3 linked regions of the Canis lupus familiaris genome follow. The protein of the gene in region 2 interacts with the protein of the main gene of each other region in a pairwise test. Links are inferred from orthologs where the notes say so. Each region holds a gene or a part of one and is shown on either strand. Other genes may lie near its edges.

Evidence for each region. The genes of interacting proteins can lie anywhere in the genome.
Region 1: the proteins of AP1M1 (region 2) and ZBTB43 interact in binary tests that used the Homo sapiens proteins (3 or more experiments, as listed by UniProt). The two-hybrid records come from large-scale screens. The link is inferred for Canis lupus familiaris from reciprocal best matches to the Homo sapiens genes AP1M1 and ZBTB43.
Region 3: the proteins of AP1M1 (region 2) and ENTR1 interact in binary tests that used the Homo sapiens proteins (3 or more experiments, as listed by UniProt). The two-hybrid records come from large-scale screens. The link is inferred for Canis lupus familiaris from reciprocal best matches to the Homo sapiens genes AP1M1 and ENTR1.

Annotation. Positions count from the first base shown.
Region 1 is NC_049230.1:56,548,125-56,552,764, forward strand, and holds the start of ZBTB43 (zinc finger and BTB domain-containing protein 43), read right to left. Parts: upstream 3,094-4,640; 5' UTR 2,935-3,093; exon of another isoform or gene 2,912-2,934; intron 2,592-2,911; exon of another isoform or gene 1,983-2,591; intron 1-1,982. UniProt on the Homo sapiens protein: May be involved in transcriptional regulation.
Region 2 is NC_049241.1:46,694,305-46,698,484, forward strand, and holds part of AP1M1 (AP-1 complex subunit mu-1), read right to left. Parts: intron 1,364-4,180; coding exon 1,207-1,363; intron 1-1,206. UniProt on the Homo sapiens protein: Subunit of clathrin-associated adaptor protein complex 1 that plays a role in protein sorting in the trans-Golgi network (TGN) and endosomes.
Region 3 is NC_049230.1:49,080,563-49,085,503, reverse strand, and holds the start of ENTR1 (endosome-associated-trafficking regulator 1), read right to left. Parts: upstream 3,094-4,941; 5' UTR 3,026-3,093; coding exon 2,956-3,025; coding exon of another isoform or gene 2,878-2,955; intron 2,828-2,877; coding exon 2,678-2,827; intron 2,114-2,677; coding exon 2,045-2,113; intron 1,172-2,044; coding exon 1,056-1,171; intron 789-1,055; coding exon 375-788; intron 1-374. Other genes in the region: PMPCA (mitochondrial-processing peptidase subunit alpha), read left to right, coding at 3,278-3,351, 4,464-4,666. UniProt on the Homo sapiens protein: Endosome-associated protein that plays a role in membrane receptor sorting, cytokinesis and ciliogenesis. Involved in the endosome-to-plasma membrane trafficking and recycling of SNX27-retromer-dependent cargo proteins, such as GLUT1.

The sequences.
Region 1 (4,640 bases), on a different chromosome or scaffold from region 2:
TTTAAATGTACTCTCAAATTCCTTAGCACTTGGAGTTAAGAAGCTCAAATCAAGAAAAGCAGAAGGCCGAAATAGCACTCAGTTTCAGGAAAATGATTAGCTACAAACCAACAAAATAAAGGAAAGATGTTTTCCTCAACATGTTACAAATAAGACAAAAATCTTTCTTTTCCAACTGTAAATAAAAAGAAGGGAAAAAATGGGATCCCTGGGTGGCGCAGCGGTTTAGTGCCTGCCTTTGGCCCAGGGTGCGATCCTGTGGTCCCGGATCAAGTCCCGCGTCGGGCTCCCGGCATGGAGCCTGCTTCTCCCTCTGCCTGTGTCCCTGCCTCTCTCTCTCTCTCTCTCTCTCTCTCTGTGTGACTATCATAAAAAAAAAAAAAGGGAAAAAATAAAAGTTCATAAAAACGTAGAGTACATTCGACTGATTTTAAGAGGCATATTTCAAAATTTCTGCAATCAGGATATGATGGCCAAGTGGAAATTTTAATGCTTGTCACTGCCTGAGACAATGATAGAGCATTCCTGAGAGCCACATCAGTGTTTCTGAAGGCACAAAAGAGGACACTGGAAAAGTATGGACCCAACTCTGAACTGAGAAGTATTCAAAAAGAGTAGGAATGTTAAAAATTTAACAAACACTTTAGCCAATTTATTTCACTTATTTTTCTTTTTATTTAGCATTAGAATGATGTCATTTAAAAATGTCTAAATAAGTCTAAAAATATTTTCTCACTAAGAATTTTTATAAGCCTAAATGATTAAAAAAGCACATGTCATAGCTAAATTGACGGTGTTTTTTTCTCCTTTGGTGGTACAGAAAACAATCAATGGTATTAGGATTCAATACAGTATTAATTCAGCTGCAATATCTCACAAGAAAGCTTGAAAAACTACCATACTGGCAACCTGATAGCTTAAATAAGAGAACGTAACATAAAGGCCTCCCCCATCAGAAAACACACAGGAAATGACACATAATTTTGCATTATCATAATAACAGGGCTATTTTTCCAACCCTAAAGTTTTCTTTATGTAAAAAGTAAAATCTTTCCTCAAATTTCCCATGGGTCTGCAGCAGATGCCTACACTGAATCCAAGAACATGGAGGGAGAAGAGCCAGGGCAGGAATTTGCCACAAGTAGAAAGCTTAAGGGAAGATTTTAAGCAAATTCTTTTAACTGAACTCCTTTTCTGAGGACATTAGCTATGACAAAAGCAGGTATCAACAAACGTAGGTTCAACTAAATATTCCAAAGACACACAAAATAAATTTTTAAAATCACATTTTCAAAGAGCTGCTTAGTTCCAAGCTTCTCCAAAGAGCAGTTTGGGTTGTTTGGTTGTTTGGTTTTATTCTGTACTGTGGTAAAATACACTTCACATAAAATTTGCCATTTTAAAGTGTACAATTAGTGGCATTAAGCACATTCACAGCATTGTGCAACCATCACCACTATCCATTTCCAGAACTGTTTTCATCATCCCAAACTAAAACTCTGTATTCGTTAAACAATAATGCTCCATCTCTTCCTGTCAGGCCCTGATAAGCTATATTCTACGTACGTCCCTATGAATTTGCCTATTTTAGATACCTCACATGAGTGGCCTCATAAGATATTTGTTCTTTTGTGTCTGGTTTACTTCTCCGGTGAGTACTTTAGTAAAGAAAAGAATGAATCCCAAATTATTAGGTTTCTTATCATTTAACTGTAGATACTGACACAATCTCTGAACTATGCATACAGCTTTCTCAGAAATCCTGCTATTCCATGAGCCCCATGAGGCAGAGAATCTTAGACTGACTATTCCTTAGCCTGTGGACAGGTCTAGTTCAGCAGCTGTAACGCAAAGAGCAGGCTCTTGAGAGCCCCGGAGGCCATCCTGGGGTAAGGGGCTGGAGCAAAGGGAAGTGGAGGGTTGTGCAGGCCAGAAAGCCATGCATAAAAAAAAAAAAAAAAGACAAGTATGTATCAAGATACTCTGGCCCTGAGATGGTCTCTGGTTTGTCTCCCACGAGGCGTTCCTGCACCGGCACACTTGGGCTGGGCGGCACCTGTCAGAGTTGAGGCCAGACTGCAGTGTAGTCACTGAGACTGTCACCAGTTGCAGGAAGCTTCACGGGGTCATGAGTCATTTTGCATGGCTCAGAGGTCCGGGCAAGCCTGCCCTGCTCCGCCCAGACAAACCTAGTTAGGAGACGCACAAACAAGAGAGAAAGACACAAAACTGGCAGAAACACAGACGGCCAAAGAGCAAGGCTGACAGGCAGGCAGGCAGGCCATGAATGAGAGTGAGGACTGAGAGGGAAACACAGGGTCAAGAGTCACATAAGCAAAGTAGAGACAGAAGAAGAAAAAAAAAAAAGGGGGGGGGGTGCAGATAGAGATGTGTGCTCAGCAAGAGAAACTGGGGAGAAATACAAAGTCGATAGTGGCGGAGTTCAGAGGCAGAAAGGGCAGGTGACAACAGGTGACAGAGACGTCAACAGAGGGGAAACACTACTTAGAAGCAAACGGAGGCAGGCACCAGCCAAGGCCGGGTGCTGCCTGTCTCCCGGCTTCGGCTCAAACCCGAGGCCGCCTCGCCGCACCCACACGGCGCCCCCGAAAGGCCGGCGGACGTTCCCAGGCGGGATCTCTAAGCGCTCCGGCCCGCCGAGGTCCGCCGCCGCGGGGTGACCTTGGGCGAGACGCTGCTTCGGGGGCCTTGGGTGTCGCGGCCCGCGCACCGGGCTGGCTGGAGGCCGCAGGAGTCGGCCTCGGGCGCGGGGACTCCAACCGCCCGAGCGCGGCTTCTTGAGCATCCCGGTCTGCGGAACGGGCCTGCCGGGCCGGGGGGCGCGCGCGCGCCGGGACCTGCGGAGGAAGCCCTTAAACCTCCCCGGCTGCCCTCCCTGTCCCCTCGCTACCTGTCGTCCCGACTTCGCCGTACCTGCTAAGGGCTCCGCGTTCACATAACCCGCCCGCGGGACACTTTCCGCCGCCAGCGACAGGCCCGTTCAAGCCGTAGCCGCCGCGACCGCCTCAGCCTGCACCTCCCGCCCCCGGAAACGCTTCCCGGTTCCGCCCCCGAAACTGCCAGTGCTTCCGGGGGTGCGTCAGAGAGAAAACGCTGTGCGCATGCGGGACTCTCCTGCGGGGCGGGGCGTGAGGGGAGCGCGCTGCTGCCGCCCTACTCCTGCGCAGTGCAACCTGGCGCGGGTCAGTTGTCTTCAGGGACTCCGGGTGAGGCCGGTGCTGGGAATGAGGGAGCTGACACCGAGTCCTAACCCCTTTTCAGACTTGATCTCTCTCATGCTGCCTAGCAGAGGCCGTGTCGAATCCATTTTTGTCTCCGAGGGCCTTTGGCACGTAGTGGATGCTCAGGGAATGTACAAGGACAGGAACAGTTCCATCTGTGCCAGGCGCTGTGCTGGGTCCCTCTAAGAAAAACCTCATTTTGTTCAGGTCCCAGAAGAGACCCTTTGATCTCAGGGGAGGTAGATCTTCACTGCTACTAGGAGGAATGCCTCATGGTTAGTCCAAACTATTCACAGTAATCTCATGAGCCAAGTGGTTAGACAAAGCATAGTCATGTGACCAACTCCTAGCCCATAATACTTTTTTATTTTTATTTTTTTTCTAGCCCATAATACTTAAAAAAAAAAAAGAAAAGAAAAAACAAACAAAAACAAAAAAACAAAAAAAGAAAAGAAAAGAAAGTCCAGTAGGACTTCTAGTTGAGTATGCTCAAGTGCTTTGCCACTTTTATTCTCTTCCTTCCCCTAAGCAGACTTGAAGGTTGGAAGTTCAGTCCCCATCACGTGCCTATGATGGGACAAGCAAATGCTAAGGTTGGCAAAATGGAAAGATTGAAAGAGCCTAGGTCTCATGTGACATTAAACTACAGTTCTAGCTTACCTCTGGATATTTTATTACATGTGCCTAACATTTCTTACTCAGATTTTTTTTTTTTAATTTTATCCATTTATTCATGAGAGGCAGAGAGAGAGAGAGAAAGGCAGAGACAGGCAGAGGAAGGAGCAGACCCCCTGCAAGGAGCCCAATGTGGGACTCCATCCTGGATCCTGGGATCACGCCCTGAGCCGAAGGCAGACGCTCAACCGTTGAGTCACCCAGGCGTCCCTCAGACTTTATTTCTAACGAAACCGAGGACTCTTCAAATATGACAGCAACAAAATATATTAAAATAAGAGGAGAGATATTGAAAGCACCCTTTTCAATACGTAGATAAACTTGTGAGGAAATCAGGAAAAATCATCTGAGGCCAGGAAGAAAGCAGAAACGCAAGCCTAGGAAGTTAGAGTTGAAGTTGAGAAGTTATCCAGGGATACAGTCTGCCTCTGTTCTGATTGCTTAGGGTGTGTGCTATGCTGATAAGTATTTTGAAAATCATCTTTGGAGATAGGTAAACAATGATGTTACTACTAGCTATAGGAACACCTACCTAGGTCCAGGCAGGATGAGAGCCGAATTGGAACATCAGGTTGGGACCCAAAAGGGAATATATCTTTAGAGGAAGGATAAGCTGGGGCGGGGGGAGGGAGAAATCTGCTCCACAGAGATAGGCAGCGAGGAAAGCTGTCTCTCTCTGCCTTGGCTCTAAGTGGAGAAGTAATGAATTTTACCCCTAATGGA
Region 2 (4,180 bases):
CACGCCTTGTGGCCCTAGTGCTGTGATATGAGAGCCAGGTGAAAGGGATGGCAGGGGCCAGTCCACCACACTTCCTGCAGAGAGTGGAGACACAGAAAATGGATGCTGGGCTAGTTGAAGCAGTGCTGGCTTCCTCCCTCCAGCCTGGGACCACATGCCTGTCAGGCACTTTCTAAGGAGGGGTAGTGGGCACCTTCAGTTCTCATGGCCTTACCCTGCTGGAAACTATTACCCAACAGCGGAACTAGGGAGCAGGAAGGGGGTGCCATGCAGCAGCACCCCAAGGGATTGAGCCATTGCCATCTCCTCCCTGGCTGCCCAAGCATGAAACTGGGACCCAATTGGAAACTGGTCAGACGGCTCCTACTGAGCTCACACCACCACCACCTGCACACCTGGGCAGCCACCGCCCAGACCCAGGGTGGCTTCACAGACAGCCAACTCCCAGGTTACAGGCTGCCAGCGGTACTCTGTAGAGCTGCCCCTCACAGGCCCTCTGGAGAGAGGGGAAGGAAAAAGAGAGGCTACAGGGGCTGGACCTTAGGCGGCCAGACGAGGGTCACAGGCCAGGACCTCCCTCATTGTAATGTGCACGCAAGGCTCGAGGGATGACCCCAGCTTCCTCGTCCCCTCCCCACATTAACTCTTGTCCCCTACAGTCTGGCTTCTGCTCAGCAGCCAGGAACCTTCAGAAAACGCAAATCTGATTTTATGTCACCCCATCTGCCTGAAACCCTCCAAAGGCTTCCTGTCAAAAGTGACGGCCTATGAGACCCCTTGGTGTTGCTGACCACTTGGGCCTCATTCCCACCATACCCCACTTGCCTGCCCTTCCCCCTCCCCCGATGCTCTAGCCACCCCTACTGTGGCTTCCAGAATAAGCCTCACTTCCCCTTTGCAGAGCCTTTTCCCAGGCCTATGGCTCCTGGTGTCTGCCCACTGCTCTGGATAGTGGATACATGGTCTTCCTGCAGGTCTCCTCCAGGTGTCCCTTCTCAGAGAAGCCCTCCTGGATCCCCAGACTACCTGAGGTCCCCTGCCATACCCTCTCCTCTCCCAGCGCCCATCACACTTGTTACTGTCTGTTCCCTGCTCATCTCCTCAGGCCGCGGGGAGCTCCAGGAGGGTGTGCCTGAACCAGCCCTGGGCCTGCACATGCACAAGCCCAAATGGAAGGCCCCTGGGGGCTCCCCCGCAAAGGGATACGATACAGATTGTTGTGCTTGATCCACATGAAGCGGACACCCCCGTGAGCCAGGATGGGCGACAGCATCCCTTCCTCCTCCTTCTCCATCAGGATAGGCATGAAGTGCTCCACCTCCGACATGTCCACGTCGCCGCGGTAATTCCGGCAGATGAGCACCTGGGCGGAGGTGGGGGAGGAACACTGCTTTCATTGCGAGTTCCCCAGCCAGGTGCCTGGGGTGGGGGGTGAGAGCGCCAGCCTCCCTCGGCACAGGAACCCTATTCACATCCCTGAACATCAGAGACTCAGGCCTGATCTCTATCCCCCAGGGAATTCCTCAAGGACAGCAGTTTCCAAAGTGAACATCACAGGGGCCAACCGGGTGCTCTGCAGGAAAGGGGAATGCAGGGCAACGGTCCAGGACTGAGTCAAGCGGGAGATGCCAGGTGAAGACGACCTGTAGGCTCTCGCTGCAGCCTTCCCAGAGCCTTTCCCATGCTGACGCACCCTGCTCTTCTGCCTGAGGCAGGGTGCCCACTCACACTCAGGGAATACTGCTGAGTGCTGGCAACCACCAGAACTCCCCTGTGGCTTGAGGACATGGCATAGTGCTGCTGTTTCTTCTTTCTCGCTCTTTCATAACCCGTGGCTTAGGACATGCAGCATCTGGAACCTTCGTCCACTACTCCTGGGGACTTAACATGGGATAAGCACTTTGGTAAAGTCTGGCAGGCTCTCACACCGGTAAACCTAGCTTCAGACCCAGCTGTTCCTCTCTTAGGTATTTACCCAAGAGAAACGAAACCGTACGTCCTTGTGAAGACAAGTAGGCACATGTCCACTGCAGCTTTATTGTAAATAGATCCAGGCGGAGAGAGGGCCAATGTCCTTCAACAGGTGAACGGGAACAAGAGCTGCGTCCACCTACAGCCCGGAGGCCCCTCAGCCATGAGAATGACTATTGACGCGGCGGCAGCACGGGGGGCTCTCAGGTGAGGGGCCAGACAACAGACGGCGTATCCCGTCCCACGGGATCCCACTTACTTTAAATCCTCGCAGGCGGTGAGAGAAAACACGTAATGGCTGCCTGGGGACGGGCTGGACACGAGGGGCGTGAGGAAGCCCCAGGGGGCGATGGAGTTTCCCGGGTTTGCACGGTGACTGAACTCATCAAAGAAAGGTAGTCTGGTCCACCTGCGCTACCCCTCCGTGAGGGGACGAGGGGGGCCCAAGGCTGCGCCAGGCTCTGTCTGGAGCCGCTGCCTAGAGCCCCTGGGACGACGGGGCTGCAGGACAGCGCCGTGCTGACAGGGGCCCTGCTGAGCAGGCGCGCTGGGCAGCACCGGCCTTAGAGCTCATAGTTCCACAAAATACACCACTTTTGTTGTGTAAAGCCAGGACAGAGAGAGAATCAGAGAGAGTCCAGACGAGAATCTCTTTCCTGGTTTCTCTTTCGTTGTCTGTGCCCTCTTCCTGCTGAGGTCCAGAAGGCCTCTTAGGGACCCAGCACCCAGTGGGTGTGAGCTCATGCGCATGTGGACCAGGCCCGGGCTGAGGAACTCCCGTGCACCCTCTCATATGCTCCTTGCCGGGGATATATACCACGAAGCGGAACATGGTACACGTTCTCTCTTTGACAGAGATACACAGTGACACCCAGAAACCTGGCACCACCTGCTTGAGGTCACACAGCCAGCAGAGGCGAGCCTGGATTCTAACCTGTTCTTACCCCCTACATGGTCCCTTCTGCTCACTAAATGTTGCTTTCCTGGGCTTCGCAAGGCCCATCTTCTTCCCCAGGTACACAATCGGGGGGGGGGGGGGGACAGCTGTTGGCAGGGAGCCCCAAGGTCCCCAGAGTGCTCAAAGGAACGAATAACTTATTTTGCTCGCCTTCATCACCAGGGCTGCAGAGAGGCCCGCGCATCCAAAGAGCAGGCACTGTGCCCCTCTACCATACGCCAGGCTGGGCCTGGGGACACAGGTGGCCCAACAGGGTGCCTGCATTGTGACACTTGCTTAGGAGGAACTGAGAACCTCCCAAGGGTGTGACCTTCCAACTGAGGCCAGAGGGGGAGGAAAGATAGAAGCAGAGGGACCAGGGTGGCTGAAGCCACAGGGTAGTGAGAGGCACAGCCCATGGGGGGACCTGGGGGTACTGGTTAGGTAGAGTGAGGACAGCCTTAGAGCTTGGGCTGCAGGTCCCAGATGAGAAGACAAAGGCAGGGGACAGGACAGATTGAAGGAAGGCAGGCAACGCGGCGGCGGTGACAAACCGCTGCCCCTATGGTTGCTCTTGATCCCCACAGTTCCTTTCCCACAAAAAGCAAGAGGGGTCTCCTTCAACAGAAGGTTCTCCCTGCTGAAAGTGTCTGAAAACAAACTACAAGTTGAACCCCAGGACAAACTGGTTCTTCATGGCCCTGCCAATGCCTCTCCATTCATCTCGCCCCACCCCCACCCCCCCTCCCACTGTTCCACCCCCAGGTCATTCCATTTCAGCCATCCTGGTCCCCTAGCCACTCTGTGAGCCATCCACACCTACTCCTGCCTCCAGGCCTTTGTACTTGCAGTTCCCTCTGCCCAGAATGCCTTGGCCTCTTCTAACTTCTCATGCCTCACCTCAGATGGCACCTCCTCCAAAAAGTCTTCCTTGCTTGCCCTGCCAGAGAGATCATACCCCAACTCCACTTGTCCTTCACTGCCCACAACACTGGTTCACTATAATCTCTATCTTCTTTTATGGTCTGTTCCCCCTACCAGAGTCGAACACTCAAAGAACAGGGACCACTTCCAACTTGTTGAGGGCTATGTCCCAGCATCCACAACAGAGCCTGACTCCAGGGGGTGCTCAGGGAATGTTTGTGGAGTGAACGTGGTGGTGAGGAGAAAAAGGCCAGGATAATACCCAGGTCTCCAATGAGGGCAGGCACGTGGACAGTGGCGTCATTCACTGAGATGAGGAGAGCAGGCCTGGGGTGGCAGCGAGTTCAT
Region 3 (4,941 bases), on a different chromosome or scaffold from region 2:
GAATAGAATACTCTCCCTTTAAAAGCCTATGATCACGGAGGCCAGTTTTACTCCTCTTTTAGGTGATAATCATTTCTAAAAAAAAAAAACTTCTACTCCGAACACAGCGAGATGTCCCTGAGCGGGCCCTTTCCTGAAGGGTGGCCTTCGAGGGGCCTGAGAGGGGCTGCACCTCGCTGCCCCGCACACGGCTCTTCTGGTGGCACACCATGTACGGAATCCACCAACTCAGAGGACTGCCACATGGGAACTCTAGCAGACCATCTTGTCCCTGGAGCCAAGACCCCAGGCCCCCAAGGCCATTTAGAGGCTCCAGGTTGTCTGCTCAGACATGAGGTGCTGGCCAGGCACAGATGCAGAGCCCTCTCACTTACTGCTTCATAGCTTATCTGCAGTGTCCGGAGATGCCTGTCCCCCAGAGACTCTCCGTGAGCTACAAAGTCTGCACTGGGGCTCCCCGCTGGAGAGGTGTGAGAGTCAGAGTTGCTCAGTGTCCACGGAGGCAGGGTCTCGGGCCCCACCAGCTCCGATGGAGTGGAGAAAAAGGAGACATATGTGCTGCAAGGTGACGTGCTGGTGGCGACCCCTGAGGAGCGGGTCTGTTCCACAGTGGATGGCAAGTAGGCCCCATTCCACCCATTGTCCTCATCCTCGTCTTCATCCTCATCCAGAAGGTCACCAGCCCCCGTAGGGTCTTCAAAAAATGGCTGCTGATATTCCAGGCCATACCCCACAGTCTGGGAAGTTGAGGAGTTGCGGCTGAGTCCCAGTGAGTGTCTTGTGGGTTCCTAAAGAAAACAGTCAGAGGCACAGCTCAGACTCAGTAACCGCTAGCGACCTATCTTCCAAGGTGCTCAACAGTGGAACAAAAGGCCCTGTCCTGTCTAGCAGGGAAGAGGAGGGCTCCCAGCAGCTTCTCTACCCAACTTTCCCACCAGCGTGAGGGGCGGGCTCCCTTTCTCCCCCAGCTCCTGCCATGTCTCCCACGATGGAAGAGAGAGGTCCTCTGGATGTTTTTCTGTGAATAGTCATTGCAGATGATGCCTTGGATCTACCTTTGAATAAATCCTGTTGTTGGCTGTATCCTCTCCTGACAGGGTGAGGTTCTTGGTTTTCAGAAACTCTTTAAAGGAGAACGGATTGGCCTCTGTAAGATCTTCAAGTTTATCACCTGAAACAGGATCATACAACACAATTGCAAAACGTCTCCTGAAAATCATTAAAAAGGAAGCTCCACTTTAATTTTTCTAGAACACAAGAAAACAAAAACAAAAAAAATTTTTTTTCTAGAACACGACCACATCTAAAATCAGGACTTCACCCTTATTGCTCGCACTGATTCTAGGAAACGAAAAACCTAGCCAATAAAAGAGATGTACTTCCACACTCTGAATTCTCCTTCCTGGGGCACCTGGCTGGCTCAGTCAGTAGAGCGGCTTGGGCTTGTGAGTTCCAGCCCGGTAACAGGAGTATAGTTCCCTTATGAATTCTCCTTCCTGTTCCCAACCCCTTGGTTCCCCCACCTTGCTGCCCACGGAGACCACCCTCGGGATCTTTGGGAGGACAATGGGCCTCTACTCCCACACAGACTGTGTTAGTTGGCTTGGGGCACAATATGTGTTAGGGGCCGTCAGAGTTCTAATGGTACAGCTACATCGGGAATCAGTGCTCCACCTCTGTCCTTTCCCTGCTCACCCATCCATCCTTCCAGCTCTCCTGGTTCCTAACCAGTAACACCGTGGCCCTTTCAGTCCACAGCCATCTAAGCCCAGGTGCCAGCCTTGTGTAAAGCGGACTCCTGTTGTCTGAGCCCGTGAAGGCTCCTCAGACCCCTCTACTGTTACTTTCCATGTTGTGTCCTGCACGTCTCAGGTTCTCCCATCCCCGTACCCTCTTTCTACCCTAGGGTCAAGAGTCCATCCTTCGGACTCCACCCCACTTGGCAGACGAATTATATGCTGTCAAACTGACACCCCAGCACAGGGCACGTGCTTGGTACTAGGTGTTGGGGAGAGGGAAAGAGAGGACTGCTCAACCACCATACCTCCGAAATGTGTCTCTTGGGCTCCAGGAGGACCTTGCTTAGTACATTTCCCCTTTCCGTAGCCAAAATCTGCAAAGAGACGTCACTGCTTGACCATGATCATGGAGGCCCCTGTGACAACTTTTTTCCAACACGGGGTCTCTATTGCCATGATTCTCACAGGCCGGGGAACTTTTCAAACCCGAGGCCCCGGGGCTCCTGCCCATGGAGACGGTATGGCTTCCGTGGGCCCTGGCGTCTGTGATTCAGAAAAAGCTCCCTGTCGGATTTGATGAGCAGTGTTCGGTAGCGCAGGCCCTCCTGTGTCTTGAGATACCTCCTGAATACCCTCACAGGTGGCCACTCTCCTGAGACCCTGACACAACCACCTAGCTCTCCCTATGCCCTGGCTGCAGGGCAGCCTGAATGCTCCAGGGAGAGCGGGATGAACTAGCCCAGCCGCTGCCAGGGTCTCCTGGAAGGAGGTGGTCTGTGGGGCTTCTGCTGGGCACTTACCAGCCTACAGTGAGTGTCTGTACTTGGAGGGGAGCGCCCCAAGGCCACACTAAGTCGCTGGGTCAGGGGGGACTTAAGGCCACAGCAAGCAGCCTACAGGCCCAGCCAGCTCGGGGCTCCCTGAGGCTTGTCTCTCACCTGTGTCTCCCACGGAAGCTAGCACCGGGCTGGGCACATAGCACATAAACGTCGGCCGAATGCCGAAGAAGTGGGAGTCCAGGTCCCTGCCATGGGGGCGCTCACAGTCTAGCTGGGGGAGACAAGACCGGCGCTCATAGAACGCTGGAGCTGCAATAACAACGAGAGCGATTGGCCGCGCTCTTCGCGGCCCGCCTCACCTGCAGCCCGGCCCGGCGAGGCGGGGGCGGCCCCGGGGTCCGGCGGGCTCGGCCCCGCCGCCCCGCCCGGCCGCTCACCGTCCGGAATGACGAGGCTCCGGGCTCGCGACAGCGGAGGGACGCCCGGGCGGCGCGCGTAGCCCGCCATCGCCGCGGGCCCGGCGGCGCCGGCCCTCCCTAGCCCGGCAGCAGCGGCTCCATAGCCCCGGCTCCACCCCGGCCGCGGCCCGACTTGCCCGCCCCCGTCGCCCGCAGCCCGGCCGCCGCTCCCAGCCTCTCGCCGCGGCTTCCGCTCCCGGCACCGGAAGCGCGCGACCGAACGCCGTGGGCTGACGCCGCAGGGGCGGGGCTTCGAGGGCGGGGTCGGAAGTGACGACAGAAGCAGGGGCGGAGGCCCAAGATGGCGGCTATGGTAGTGGCGGCGGCGCGGGTGCTGCTTCGCGGCTCGGGCTCGTGGCGCTGCTCGCGGCTGAGGTGAGCAGGGGGCGCGCCGGGGGCCGGGGCGGCGCGCGTCCGCCCGAACGCTCAGTCTCTGGCTTCCCCACGCGCAGTCGCAGCGCCGCGGGTTCGGGCTGGGGCTTCGGGACCCCGGCCTCGTCTCCGAGGCGCTGGGGGCGCTTCCCTGCCGGGACCCCCGGGCCCGGGCTCCGAGCCTCATCCGCCTGTCCTCTCCCGGGCCGCTGGACCCTCTCCCGCCCAGTCCTCCCGGCCCGACGGGGCGGTCGGAGGCCACGTGTCCTCTCCGCCCCGGCCCGGTCCTGCCGCGGGGCCCCGTCGTGAGGCCGAGCCCGCGGGGCCTCGGTGCCGCCTCGACTGCAGCAGGCGCCGCGCGCTCCCCGCCCCCGCCGCCCTCCCGCCCTCTTGGCGGCGAGCAAGCCCTCCCAGGCCATAGTTGGTGGGGCCTCTCCCTGGTCCCCGGCGGCGGGCGCGCGGACCAAGCGGGAGCGGTCGCGTGAAGGCTTCCAGCTTCAGGAAGGACGGTCTGGCGGCAGGTAGCGGGACAGGGGCTTCAGGCAGCGTGCGGAGGGTGGCCTGTCCGAGCAGGTGGCATTGGTAAGTCAAGAGACGAGGAACGGAGGAGGGGCAGCCGCGGGGAAGGCGCAGGTAGGAGCAGGCCAGGCCAGACCGGGAAGAACAGCTGCTTTGCGGTGAGGACCGAGTGTGTTTAAGGGTGCCGCCAGCAGGCCACCACGAGGGGCCCTGGGGGTGGGGTGGGGAGAGCTCTAAGACAGCTGGGGGACAGGGCGTTGAGAGCTTTGGCTTGTGTGTGGACCCTAGAGGGGCTGTGTATGAGAGGTTAACCCGCATCACAGTGAGGTGCTGTCACTACTGTCTTTTACGAGAGACGAAGAACTGATTTCGGCCCAAAGAACTGATCAACTTGCTGCAGGCCCCTGGGCCGAGCCTGGATTTGTACCTAGCAGTGGGGCTCTGATCACTCCTGTGTGTCGTCTCAGGGTGTGTAGAAATCCACAGAACGGGATGCACTGAGTTTTAACTTAGACAAAACGTGACTGTGGGCACCCGGGTGCTCACCACAGGCTCCGAGGTGTCAGGTGTGCTGTAACTGGGCAACCTCTGTTTAGGTCCGGTGCCCCTTCGCGCAGACAGTTCAGTGGTGGTGGTGCCTATCCCCACGTCCCACTCTCTTCCCCCTTACCCGGAGTGCCTGAGCCTGTTTTTGCTACAGTCGACGGACAAGAAAAGTTTGAAACCAAAGTCACCACGCTGGACAATGGGCTTCGCGTGGCCTCCCAGAACAAATTTGGACAATTTTGTACGGTAGGAAGTAAGTACTGTTGGTGGTGTTGTGGGTCATCCTGCTTGTTTTCATGCCCACATACTTTCATTGATCGTTGTGCTTAAACACATTGTCTGTAAGTTGTGTTCTGTGTGGAAAAGTGTGATACAGGCCCTAAAAACCAACTACGTGAAGCACTGAGGCGCCATGGTGGTGATGGGTTTTTCCCCTTTCTACCTTCCTAGAGTTCTAACACTTTTCTACCACAAATACAAAGCATACAACTCCATGGGTGTCAGTACACAGTGCAGCTATGGATATGT